2 linked regions of the Drosophila melanogaster genome follow. Changing the gene in region 2 together with the main gene of any one other region gives a genetic interaction. Each region holds a gene or a part of one and is shown on either strand. Other genes may lie near its edges. The genes, in order: sea and ATPCL.

Region 1 (7,843 bases), on a different chromosome or scaffold from region 2:
GATGTTGTATCTAAAGTTTTACAAACGCAACAGCTGTTGCACGGTCTCATTATTTGTCCATTCCATTACAAATCCAAATTTTATTATTAACTACTTTACCGCACTAGTTGAGCGCAGCTGTTAGTTGAGGTTTTTTGAAAAGTTGATATTACGATTTTGTGCTGCATACTTTCGGGCTTTAAAGTTTCCGAATGACTAAATGCATGTTTCTTCAACGCAGTCCAGGAATGGCTGCATGCAGTCGAAAAATGGACTGCCAAATGGAATGTGGCCATTAACTCCTCGAAGTCAGCCTGTGTAACTTTTACCCTGCGGCCCGGAACTTGCACAGATCTGACTTTTGATGGAAACAATGTCACATCGCACTGCTACCTAGGAGTTCATCTAAATCGGGGACTGACCTGGAGGGCCCACATCTCGTCGGTCAAATTCAAGTCACTGGCGAAACTAAAAAAGCTCGACTGGCTCTTCCACTCCAGTAAATAATACACATTAAGAAGTATATATATAAAGATATACTGAGAGTATATCATATTTTGTATTGATCAAGACGTTACTTATTATTGGTATACATAAATAATATATGTAGTACATATTATGTACATAAGTATGTTTCGTGGCAAACCCCCGTAATCTCTTTTATTTATGACGATCAATGCAATAATAAGGATGATCGGTGAGGGGGGTGCGGGATCATGGACTAATTGAATTAATAAGATAACGCTTAGCAACAAACAAGTCGGTATCCATGTAGGTGGGCCCTCCCACGGGATGGGCAGGCTTATGGAGATCGTGGGTAATCTCAATATTGCATTGCCTGACCATGGGTGGAAGGAAGTCCTCGATTAGATTACAATTCACCGGCGACTTATCAAGAGTTATTCATAACAATAATATAAACGAATTGTGTCGAAAATTATTTATACACATTGGTAAAATGTAGAAGCTCGGGAGATTCTTTTAATGGTGCCACTGACCCACAGAAAAAAGTCTACTAATTCGGAATATATGGGGGGCGAACAGTCGAGACTCAGAAACCTGGATAACGGATATCCTTTTAAATAAAATATACGTGTGTATGTATGTTAAAATTTTAAATCTTGATATTATATTAATAATAATTTTGTACTACAAAGTGAGATAGTCTGGGTTTCAAATAAATTCCCCTTCCTTACTTGCACACATTGGGTTTCCCAATGCGTAATCTGAAATTCGGAGAAAAGTTTAAAGTTCGCGCCAAAATAGGCAAGTTTTGACTGTATAATGCGAGATACATTGCAGTTCCATTGTCAGCATGACAATGTGGCGTTCGTTATTAGGCCGGTGCTTTTGAACCAATTAAGGCTGCAGCCAATTGATCGCGCCAAGGTGAAGGTGCTTGGGTGCTGGGAGGAGCAGGAGGAGCTGGTCAGACGTTGGGTGGCAGTAACACGTCCGATCCATTACCAATATGCGGTGTGAGGGGGAGTGGTGGCCCCCATAGAACCGTTAATATTTTTTTTGGAGAGCGCCTAAAAAAGCTGCTTTTTGTAAGAGCGCCAACGGCTTGGCGCCGACATTTCGATACCTTGGCGGCTGTACTTGGCTTTGCATCTGGTAATCCGATGCTCAGCCGATGCCACATCATTAAATTTTTAATTTGTGAGACAAACAAAAAGGAAACGTGCAAAAGCCGTGCCGCAGAACGAGAGCGAATCAAATGAGAGCGAGAGGCCATTAACTTGCATCTGGCAATGCCGTAGCCGCAACGCGAAAGTATATAACAGCCGGCACGCCGCAGAGCTTTTCATTCGCTCAGAAAATTTCAACAGTGAACATCTTGTGCAGAACACAGACCAAATATTCCAAAAATGTCTTTCGTTGGCAAGAAGTACAAGCTGGACAAGTCCGAGAACTTCGATGAGTACATGAAGGAGCTGGGTAAGTTGCCAAAACTAATTCGCAGTGCATCAAAAATAGAAAACCAAAGTGCTCGAGAGAGCGAGAGCGGGAGTGGAGGGAGAGAAAAGAAGCCGAAAACACGCCACCGAAAATCGACCGGCCGGCATTTTTCGCACTAGTGTGCAAAAAGTTTCATTGGCCAAACGAGAGGGAAAAAAGTAAATGTCTTCCGGAAAATGTTATATCAACTGAAGATTATGAATGAATTCGACTGTTAAAATAGTTTAGCTACATGCATAAATTGACACCTCATTGAATCTGCTGATGTGCGTATGTGTGTGTCAGATAAAATCAATAGAGAATAGGACCAGAGAAAGAGATGCACATCTGCAGCAATAAAAACGTGCTCCAGTTATTCACCTCACCCTCTTTCTCAACTTTACAGTTGCGAATCGGAGGACAAGCAGTATAAAATCCGTAAATGGTTATCTGCGGTAGTCATAAACCCAAAAACTAATTAAGTGTGGGGCCTGAACTTTGCTCCCCTTTTTTGAGTCACCTCCGTCAGCTTTCCATGGGACCGAAATCATCATAGTGCCATTAGCTTTTGCGACAGGTTTTATCTATTTGTGTACTAGATTTTGGGAGAAAGTCTCGCAGTGAACTTTGCACTAGACTACAAGCTTTATAGCTGCGATGATCTTTGCCCGGCTGTCAATTTAGACAACAATGAAACACCAGATATAAACTACATATAGGACACATTCGACTCTCTTACCGATCAAAGTGCAATTTCTATTGCAATCGTGATTATACTATATGGTGCCACTAAAACTGATCAATACCATCGCTTCCTGTCTAGACGCGCCATAGGGACTAGTGGCATTTGGTAACCAGAGACGGGCGTCCAGATTTATTTACCAGACCACCAGTTCGTCAGAACTTTTCGCCTACACACTTTGCGGCTTCGGTTTAATGGTAGACTTGGTCCGAAAGCCACGTACTTCTCAATTTTCAAGCCCAAACAAATCTAAAATCAACCTGCCGTTGGGGCCTCGCAGCACTTATCAGTTGTCGTACATATATAAATGCGATAAACTATATGCCTATTTATGTACACACATTTGTAGTATATACAATGTCGCAAAAGGCACGATAATTAGGCGCGATTACGGATTTTGCACTTTGGGCAGCCACCCCTATCATAGACCACGGTTCGCAATTGCAGGCCAGTCTAATCTATTCAAGGTTCTCCTGTCATATACGATGCATATAAATCGATCTCTGGTACAGTTGCTGGGTTCCCATGAGTGGGAACCTGGCGACTTATCGCGCCACGCCAGTTGACACTTGACTTGAGGGCACTGGACAAAAGAACAAGTTGGTGGTGGTCCATACATAATTGAACATAATTGATTGGACCACTTGTTGGTTTGATGTCTGACAATGTACTAGATTGGAAATAATACATGTGCCCTATTTGCTGGCACATTCGTAAGGTACCAGTGATTCACACTTTGTTTTTGATTCAACGTTTCATTTGGCGAAACTTCTTTCAAATAAAAATATAAATGCAAAATTACTCATACAGCTACGTGCATGCATATAGTATTTCAGTAATTACAAGTCCCATAAAATTAAGTGACAAATTTTAGTACTTAAACACGATTGATTGTTCACAATCGTTAAGTTATCATTTAATGATGGAATTGCTTTGCTTATCTTTCGATGGTAATTATCAGCACTTCAAAGGTTTACGATTTGGAACGTCAGCAAAATGGATCTTGACCACTTAAGCCAGTAAAATATATATTTACACTGCTTGAATGGCATTTATATTCACAGTTCTGCCCTCAAACAACATATGTATATATGGAATGCTGCACCGAGATAAGGTGGTGCTTTGCCAGATCTATATTTAAATGCATGGAGGGGCTTGCCAATTGATAAGAGCGGAGATGAGGATGAGGGAGGAGACGACGGCCCGCATTGTTCGTTAACCTTGAGCACGACTTTTGACGTTACAGCGGAACGGAATCTGCAGGGAACTTCATGGCTCGGCTTTATTATTTTTAATTAAATATGATATGATTTGCATTGTGAGCGCTTTGGGGTCCCCAACTTTGTTGGGCTAATTCAATTATGTGCAGTCTGCCCCATCATTCATCTTTCGGTGCGATCTTTGATTTCCTTACATTCTCGTGAGATGGAACTTCATTAATTTCTTTTCCCTTTCCACTTGCAGGCGTCGGTCTGGTGACGCGCAAGATGGGCAACAGCCTGAGCCCCACAGTGGAGGTGACCTTGGAGGGCGATACCTACACCCTGACTACCACCTCCACCTTCAAGACCTCTGCCATCAGCTTCAAGCTGGGCGTTGAGTTCGACGAGGAGACCCTGGACGGTCGCAACGTCAAGAGCATCATCACCCTGGATGGCAACAAGCTGACGCAGGAGCAGAAGGGCGACAAGCCCACCACCATCGTCCGCGAGTTCACCGACAACGAGCTGATCACCGTAAGCGCTTACTATACCTTGCCGTATATCATCACACCCACCTAACTGATCCAATGCCTCCCCCACAGACCCTCACCATCGGCAACGTTAAGTGCGTGCGCGTCTACAAGGCCGTCTAAGAGACTGATCTAAAACTATAATATCCATACGACTACATGCATTAAAACTAACTCAGATAGCCAATATTCTTGTTGACTAACAGTGAACTAAACCAAATCAAATGGAACTGCACGCTCTGCCCAATGTTAATTTATAATCGCACCCGTACACCCGCAGTCGGTGTATGTGGGAATACTCCTCGTACTCGGGGACCAATTTCCGAATGCATTTGAATAAACTATTACTTGAAGTGCTTTTAAAACATTCCGACTTTCTTTTACACTTCGCTTTTAAGCTTGTTGTTGCTTAGGTTAATGACGAAATGTAAGCTTAGACACAGCAATCAAAATTATATTAGTTTTAGTTATAAATTTATATTTTGGCATTTTTCCAACTATTTCCCAAATTTACGGTTTTGTGAGTAAGCAAGTAACGTGTTTTCATCGAAATAATTTTAGTTCCTACCTAAAAAAGAATTTTTAAGTGGCTTGTTTGTGAGGCGAACAATGCCAGATATTTTAGTTTGGCTTGAAAGTTATCGTTAAGGATCCCGAAATTCGTAGGGTGTCATATTTTCAATGGCTAAAGGGATCGAGAATACCAAATTCAATTACATTTTCAATTGGAGGTCATATTTTTGAATCGATATGAATTATAAAGTTTCAAATTTCAAACTGTTAAAAGAAATTCCACCTTTGGGGTTATAGAAAGCATGTTTCTTACTATCGTTTCTTATTGTATCGTTTATTGAAGTTGTATGTATAAAGAGAAGAGGCACAAGTCTGAATGGTCTCTGATTTGCTTTTGGGCTGCGGATGTTCTGCCCACGCGTTTCCGTTTCCGTTGCGATGCATTTGCTCTTGCTAATTGAGTATAAAACACAATGCTGCTGGGGCTTTTGCACTGTTCGTGTGAATGGGGTCTGTTGCAAGTGCGTGCCACAAGTGTGGGTGGGTGGCATCTGCTGCATTTGGGGGCTGGCGCAAGCGCACACGTTATCAGCGGACAGTTGGCAGCACGGCCACACTTTCGCCGGGTTTTTTTTGTTAACATTCGTCGTTTGCCGGCGGCGTTAGAACTACGTGTATCCGCATGACGCCGAGTTGCGTCAGTCGGTAAATAGTAGACACTTAATTGTTGGTCAATTGGGCGTTATAAATTAAAAAGCAAAAGCGCCGTTATCGATTTTATTAGTGTAGCACTAAATGCTCTGATAACCTGGATAAAACTACCGCGTGGGTGTGCGTAGGCTACGCGCATTGTGTGTGTGTGAACTCATTGTGTAATCGCTAAAGAAAAAATGTTGGTCTACTTTGCGGCGTACCTAACATTCAAAATTTAAAGTCAAATGTTCTTCTTGTTGTTCTTCAGCGGAGCTTTTCCAGTCCGCCCCAAAAGCTCTGTCCACTTTGTTGTTGCTGGACAAACGGGTTTCCGATTAGAGAGAGAAAGAGAGATCTTCACTGCGGTGTCAGCAAAAAAACGTTACTTTGGCGCTACTCTTCGCACTCTCTGCACAGAAAAAAGTTCTCCATAAAGTAATCGAAACGCACTTATATAGCTATCAAAATACCTTTATCAATGTGGAATCAATCTTTAGAAACTTAATATTCCATTATTAGGATCGAACTGATGTATGTGTATGTTACTCGTTTAGGATCGTTTACTAGATAGATCCACGTATCATTTCTTTTATTTTCAATTTCTGATTGATTTTCAAAATAGAAATATTTTACTGTGTACATTACTGAGCGCGGGGAGAGTGGATACCGCTGAAGTGCTGTTGTTTACAAAACGCCGACCATTGGAATTACAGTGCGCCCCTGATGCAGTGAACTATAGAGAATAGCGTGCTCAGTCTATCGATTCAATTTATTTTACAAAAAGTTTGATATTTAGAAGAATCTACCATTTTAAATCTATTGGGATAGAGTTGTTCGGACTGCTGACTGTTGGATCTGAAAATCCAAAGTCCGTTAGTTCCGGGATGCACTGTATCGCTTTCGCTCGTCGATTGGAAAATGGAATTTTTTCGTAGCCCCGATCAGTTGAGATTCAACCGCTGTCCCCATCGCCACTTCACTTCACCGCTGCCTGGGCTTTCCAAAATTATAATTATTTCGGTTTTTTGAATTCTAATGTGAGTAGTAGAGAACAATACCCGATAGCAAAGCTGCATGAGCAAAAATTAAGCGCGACTTTTGCCAGACAGCAGTGCGCTTTGAGTGTGTGGGTGTGGGCTTAATCAACCGCTTTTGAAGTCTGTGTGTGTGTGTGGAAGTCGGTAGAAACTTTCCAGTGCCGACTTATCAGTGGGTATTGTTTATGTTTATCCAGATTTCCAGACCGATACGGAAATTGGCTTAAACAGCGGCATAAAATGAATAATTATGAACTTGCAACTGTGTGCGATTATAATTTATGGTCATGCAAAAGTTATGTAATCGCACTGAAACAATATTAATTTGTCAAGTGCAAAGAGCGAAACAACCAACGAGCCTGCTGATATTGATATAGTACCGCTCCCACTCAAACCGTCCCAGACTATATCACCCGATCTTAAGTAATCACTATTGAGATTTTCGAACATTTGGTTTTTCGCTCTGTTTGTGTTAGTTTGTCGACTCTTCGTTCACAGTTTTCGAACCTTGTCCCCAAGGTGAAATGAATATGTTTTGGGGGAAAAGAGAGTCAACGATACAATGGGAAGTTACCTATGATAATGGCATTGATTACTAACTTTAAATTGGAGCCCGCTGGAGCCATTCCAGCCAAGTGGAATTCTTTTCCTCATAGAAATTGCATAACTAGTAGAGCAGAACTGCAATTAAACAAACATTTAATACGATAATTAAGGTCGATATTCGCATAGATACGCGGTTCACGATTGTACGTCACAGATATAGTTAAATTGTTTAAATAGATGATAAGGAATACTTCAGATATCATTATCTATGAAGAACAAATGCCATATTTTCATACAAGTTTTGGGGAATATTTTGAAATCCGCGCACCCACGCAGAACGAGTCTATTTTGATCCATTTACAACAATAGGATATAAATAACATTCAATCGGACAGAAATCAGCTGGAATTCACTCAGTACAATAAATGAATTCTACTATTTTCTTTCAGCTAATTCCCCACCTAACACCCAGTCAGCATGGATCGCTCCGCCTTCGCGTCCCTTGTCAGCCCGTACCGCCGACGTCCGTGGATGACGGAGCACGGAGCGGCGGCTGCGGACAGCGGCCAGGTGGGCCTTAAGGGCATCGTCGCCGGCGGTATTACGGGCGGCATCGAGATCTGCATCACCTATCCCACCGAGTATGTGAAGACACAACTG
Region 2 (5,175 bases):
TGGAAGTTTAAAGACCGTCACGTTCGTCTCAATCCTCAGAAAGGATTTGAACGGCACCTGGTCGTTTAGCAGATTTAGACGCAGGAGCTCAACAGATTCGTCCGGCTGAATTAGTATCCTTGGATCGCCTACGAGGGTTACTTCCAATATGGATTCATCAATGGGCTCTGTGAGACTTACGTTAAAGAGCATTAGGGGTATTGCGAACTTGTTCCGCACCACCAGCGATCGTTTTCTTTCCAGCGGTTCACCCTCGACGCCTTCTGGCGAGGTGGTCACAAATCTGGTGGCATTTCTGTCGAAGGTGAGCCCTCCATGGAAGATTTCCGCTCGCACCAGCACTGTAAACGGCTGATCCGCACCAGGACTGGTACTGGACTGGTTACTGTTGATCACCAGCAGATCATTAATGATCTCATCGCCTTCGAATAGGCTGGCATCCAACACTATACTTGTGTTGTTTGCGTCAAACGAGAGACCCGGAATCTGGCGAAGGTAACTGCCGAAGAGTTGGCGACTCTCGTCGTTCCGAACGTCCAGCTTGAACTGTAGTGCATCCGGAGCATTTAAAGTGGCCACACGGCCAAAGTCCGCCAGTGGATTGCGGGCGTACACAGAATGTCGTGGCAGAATCTCAAATTCGACAGGAATAAAAATATCCAGTTCCTGCTCTGCGACCTTGATGCGTATGTAGGCGCTGTGATTGCCAGCTGTGCGGCCGTGAAATGATATCCTAATGACCGGCTTTAAAGTGTGTGGAGGAATTTTCCACAGATTTTGTGGGCCCTCCGAGCCACCGCTGGGCAACTCTAACTGAAACTCGCCGCCGCTGCTGTATATCTAAAAGACATGGTTATGGGTAATATACCTACAGAGTGTTGATTAAAACCTACCTCAAGTATCTGCAGCGGCCGCTCGTGCGGGTTGTACATGTGAATCTCTGGCGTGAGTGTCGCATTCATGGGCGCCTTAATGCCCACCAACGGCTTTAGGCGGTACGGGCACTCACTGCCCTCGCCCTGTACCGCCAACTCGGCCTGGCCGAAGGAGGTGTGAATGAGAAGGTCGGCGGCAATGGCGCCTAGTTGGCGCGGTAGGAACACCACGTTGAAAGTTGTATTGCCTTGCGGCGGCACCTCTCTCGTGCCCAGGAAGCTGCTGTAGAACGCCGGACTTGGTCCGGCCACCGCGTTCAGCTGGAGCGTTCGATTGGAGTGTTGATTGAATAGTGTCACCGTCTGAGAACGCGCCTGGCCGACGGACCACGTTCCAAAGTCTAGACGGGACGGCACAAGCCGAAGGTCCCCCAAATCGTGGATTGGTGCCTCCTGCAGCCCCAGGAAAGTCTCCTGCAGGACCTTTTCACCTTTGGCGCCCAAAGTGAAAAGGAAGATTAGGATGAGCAGGATGGGTTCTGCGAATATTCGCAAAAGCGGCCTCATCTGGACTTGTGTGGGCATGGCGTGCGTTCCCTTGATCCTGGGATGCTGTGTGTGTGTGTGTTCGTGTGGGCGGCGATGGCGCAGCTCCTGGTAACCGACTTTCTGTCCAGCTGCTAATCTAAATTGGAGTTTCCTTGGCGTTGCGCTTTATTTATATTATCCAATATCGCTGGCCAAAAATTATTATCGCTTTTCGGTGTGACCGCCGTGGAATACATAAAACATACCATCCGGCACAGGGAAATACTAATCATATGATCATTTTAAAAATATACCATTAAAGCACAGAATCCTTTTTTAAGGCGCATCAGGTGGCTACATAAATTGCTTGATATATGGGCTTATGTTTAGTTGATTTCTTGCTGGTAGTATAATTTAAGCGTTCAATGGCATGCGATTAAATTTAACATTGTATTGTAGCAGATTATTAAAATAATGAAATATTTATATATTATTAAATATATATAAAAAAATATATATTTAATTTGTTTACTATAAATGCTATTAATATTATAGAGCCTAGCGCATACAGTTAATACTGTATATAATATTACATACTGTTGCGCAGTATTTTAAAACGCGCCAAAAAGTATGCTCGAAAAAAATTAATAACAAAATGTATCGCCATGTATTCGAGGGAAAACAGTGAAAGAGCTATCGAAACTTGGCCATCGCTAGCTAAAGAAACGACAACCGAAAGAAAGTTGCAGTTTAGTTTACGTGTTAAAATTAATCGCAGGTCGTGAAGCTGATTTAACTAAAGTGAGTGCTCTCGTCGCCCGTTAATATACCCGCGTATATACACCCACAATTTCATTGAATAGTGACGAGTACAAAGGAAAACATGACCAAATGAAATTTCGCACAGATCGTTCGGCTTGCTCCACGCACTTACACTCACACACACACACACACACACACACACACACACACACTATAATCACATATTCGCTGAATATTGCAGAAATATTAATGCGAAAATCAGCAAGCATTTTGCAATAATTACTGAAGGCGAAGATTAACAGCTATTTGACCCACGAACGGTGATGCAACAGCCCTATTGATTTTGCCCACTTTCACCGCTTACAACATTTTTAGTTTGGGCTTCGGTTTCGGTTTCGCATTTAGTTTTTTTTAGTTTCACCAGCAGGGCAGCCAATTTGCATACGCATCGGCTAGGCGTGAACTTCGTTTCCAGATGTAAATTAGATCGTGTGTACTTGCAAAGTCATCAGCCCCCTTCAATGTGCGCTCTTCATCGAATTAGATTCCATGCCATTTCCGATTTGCTAGCCATTGGCTGTTCATGTATTTTTGGGAGAAAGTTCGGCCCTCAGCCAAAGTGACCCACTGACTTGACTAACTGGGCTTGATATCCAAGCTGCAATGATATGTTGATAACCGGTTCTACAAAAGGTGCTTCCCCACACCCAACGCAATGGTAATGGTCCAGGGCCAGATCCCGTTGCAGACCTAATCTCTGGGAAACAACCATCTGGTTGAGCGAGAGCCATGTACATATCAACACATAAGCCGAAAATTCTAAAGACCCGAAGCCGTTGGAGTCGCGAAGCTTGAAAGCCGAGGCAGCGCCACGAAATCGAAATCAGAATACGCCTGTTGCTGGCTCATTTTCATGGATGGTGCTGTCGCGCATTCGATTTCAGTTTACTTCCAGACCCGACGACGTGCAGGTTGATTAGCTAGCTGCCCAGCCTGTAGCTACCCAAAGCTGAAGCCGCCCAGCACGCACACTTTGAAACTTACTCGAAACCTATTGCACCTGCACACAGTCGTGCTCTAATCAATTCTAAGTAAATAAATCAAAGTTTGAAAGTACAGACAAAGTCAAACGGTACGCGCGAACACACGAGACCCTCCTTTATTTGTATTTGAAAGAAGGCTATATTAAATCTTAATTGATTTGTTTTTATATATTTTTGTATTTTTGTTTTTTTGTTTTTTTGTATATTCTGTAGCTTCATCATGTCGGCGAAAGCAATCACCGAGGCCTCCGGCAAGGACATCCTGAACCGCCATCTCAACACCCATGGCGCCGGCGCGGCCACTTGCCGTTTTTCCACAGTAAATTCCACGACAGATTGGTCCAAGCTCGCCGTTGACCATCCCTGGCTGCTGACCACGGTGAGTGCCAGTTAAAAATAGCCGCGAAACTCGCGGAACTCGACGATTGCGAATCAGCCGATATGTAGGAACAACAATTGGGCCAGCGACAACAAACGCTCGGCGGGATTGTCATTGAACTTGACCTCGTGGTGGACGCTTCGACCACCACGCCGATGCCGAATGACTAAGCGCGGCTCCTGATAAGAGCGAATTGGGCGCCAGTCGGTCGCGCGAGTTGATCGCTGGAAATTGCGGAGTAGACGGACGGACGCGGGCGCAGACCGACAGCTCACCCCATGGCGCACTCTGGTTTTTATCAGATTGCCGGGGACCCAGTCGTAGGTCGCGTGGCATGGCGTGGTCTTGGCCCCTTTGGTTATCCGCCGGCGGATCAGGCTCACCTCATTTGCGAACACGATAAGCGTGCGTGGAGATTGGGATTCACGATCACGCAGCTATCTCTGATTGACCTTCCGATCGATAGTGGAAAGTTTGGCTGTAGCCAAGTACTTATCTTGAGCACTTATAACGGTTGAGTGGGAAATAAGGGGAAGCTAACATGTTCCGTGTTTGTTTTAGAAAACCTTTATCACCGAAATCCATATGTTCGAAATCTTATCATCAAGTTATTTGTTGATTTTGGAGCGTCTCAATTTATTGACCTTACCTAGCATTGTTGCGCCGCCTGAATTTCTAAAGAATAATTTCAATTCAAATATGCCGGAGATTTTAAAGTGGCGAAGTGTCGCTGAGTCGAGTGGGGGATTCAGGGAACTACTCTACTATCTTTCAAACAATTTTCGCAAAATAATATATTCTATTGAAATGTGATCAGTTAAAACTTATCTATAAGTTGTTTGTTGACTCTAGAGGGAGCGTCCCTATACTTAGTCTTAGTAATCTAAAGGCAGGATTGTGAAACTCTGATTATCAGGAAGGTGTTTTAATTTATGACATGCAGATAGAAGGTATTAACTTTCTGATTTAATAGACTTATTGTCTTGTTGTCACGTTTTCGTTTGAAGTGCATAATACTTTTATTACGTTACTGATAATGATGTTTACCCCACTGAAGGGGGAGAAGCAAACAATCAAACACAATACAACTCCCTTTAAATAGTTTCACTTAGAGCTATTAGTTTAATATTTTGATCTCGTAATTTTATATGCAATTAAGATAGATCCGAAATTTAGTGAGCATAATGGGAGTTCTTTCGGCTTTAATTACACGACAAAGTGAATCGCCTGACGGACATCTCGGATGATATTTCGTAGTCGGACTGTTTGCTCAATTTACACTCGTACGATCTTCTAATAAGCATATGAGATGTGTTTTTGTGTGGGCACAAGTACAAGTTCGGGTAAGGGTACGAGCACTGGCATTGTCATTGGCAATGACGCGGGAACGACCCCTGATGTTATCGGCTGATCTTTTCGACAGATGCTGATCGTTGGAACCGGCTTTTTTACTGACGCGCCGAGATCAGAAGGCACAAGTTCAACGATTTGTCGCTTATTTCATTTATATTTAGCATACATTTAATTAGCCCCGTCCTTTCCTTTGTTGCAGCCGCTGGTGTGCAAGCCCGATCAACTTATCAAGCGC

What was found.
Region 1: of ATPCL (region 2) and sea, changing one enhances a phenotype caused by changing the other (phenotypic enhancement), as found in Drosophila melanogaster (one study listed by BioGRID).

The regions. Positions count from the first base shown.
Region 1 is NT_033777.3:11,560,995-11,568,837, reverse strand, and holds the start of sea (scheggia), read left to right. Parts: upstream 1-1,783; 5' UTR 1,784-1,850; coding exon of another isoform or gene 1,851-1,920; intron 1,921-3,726; exon of another isoform or gene 3,727-4,023; coding exon of another isoform or gene 4,024-4,054; intron 4,055-4,126; coding exon of another isoform or gene 4,127-4,398; intron 4,399-4,466; coding exon of another isoform or gene 4,467-4,517; exon of another isoform or gene 4,518-4,780; intron 4,781-5,545; exon of another isoform or gene 5,546-5,738; intron 5,739-6,541; exon of another isoform or gene 6,542-6,637; intron 6,638-7,632; coding exon of another isoform or gene 7,633-7,660; coding exon 7,661-7,843. Other genes in the region: fabp (fatty acid binding protein), read left to right, coding at 1,851-1,920, 4,127-4,398, 7,633-7,764.
Region 2 is NT_033778.4:15,998,217-16,003,391, reverse strand, and holds the start of ATPCL (ATP citrate lyase), read left to right. Parts: upstream 1-2,101; 5' UTR 2,102-2,204; exon of another isoform or gene 2,205-2,211; intron 2,212-3,104; exon of another isoform or gene 3,105-3,297; intron 3,298-3,421; 5' UTR 3,422-3,428; coding exon 3,429-3,587; intron 3,588-5,139; coding exon 5,140-5,175. Other genes in the region: Tmem131 (transmembrane protein 131), read right to left, coding at 1-840, 894-1,460.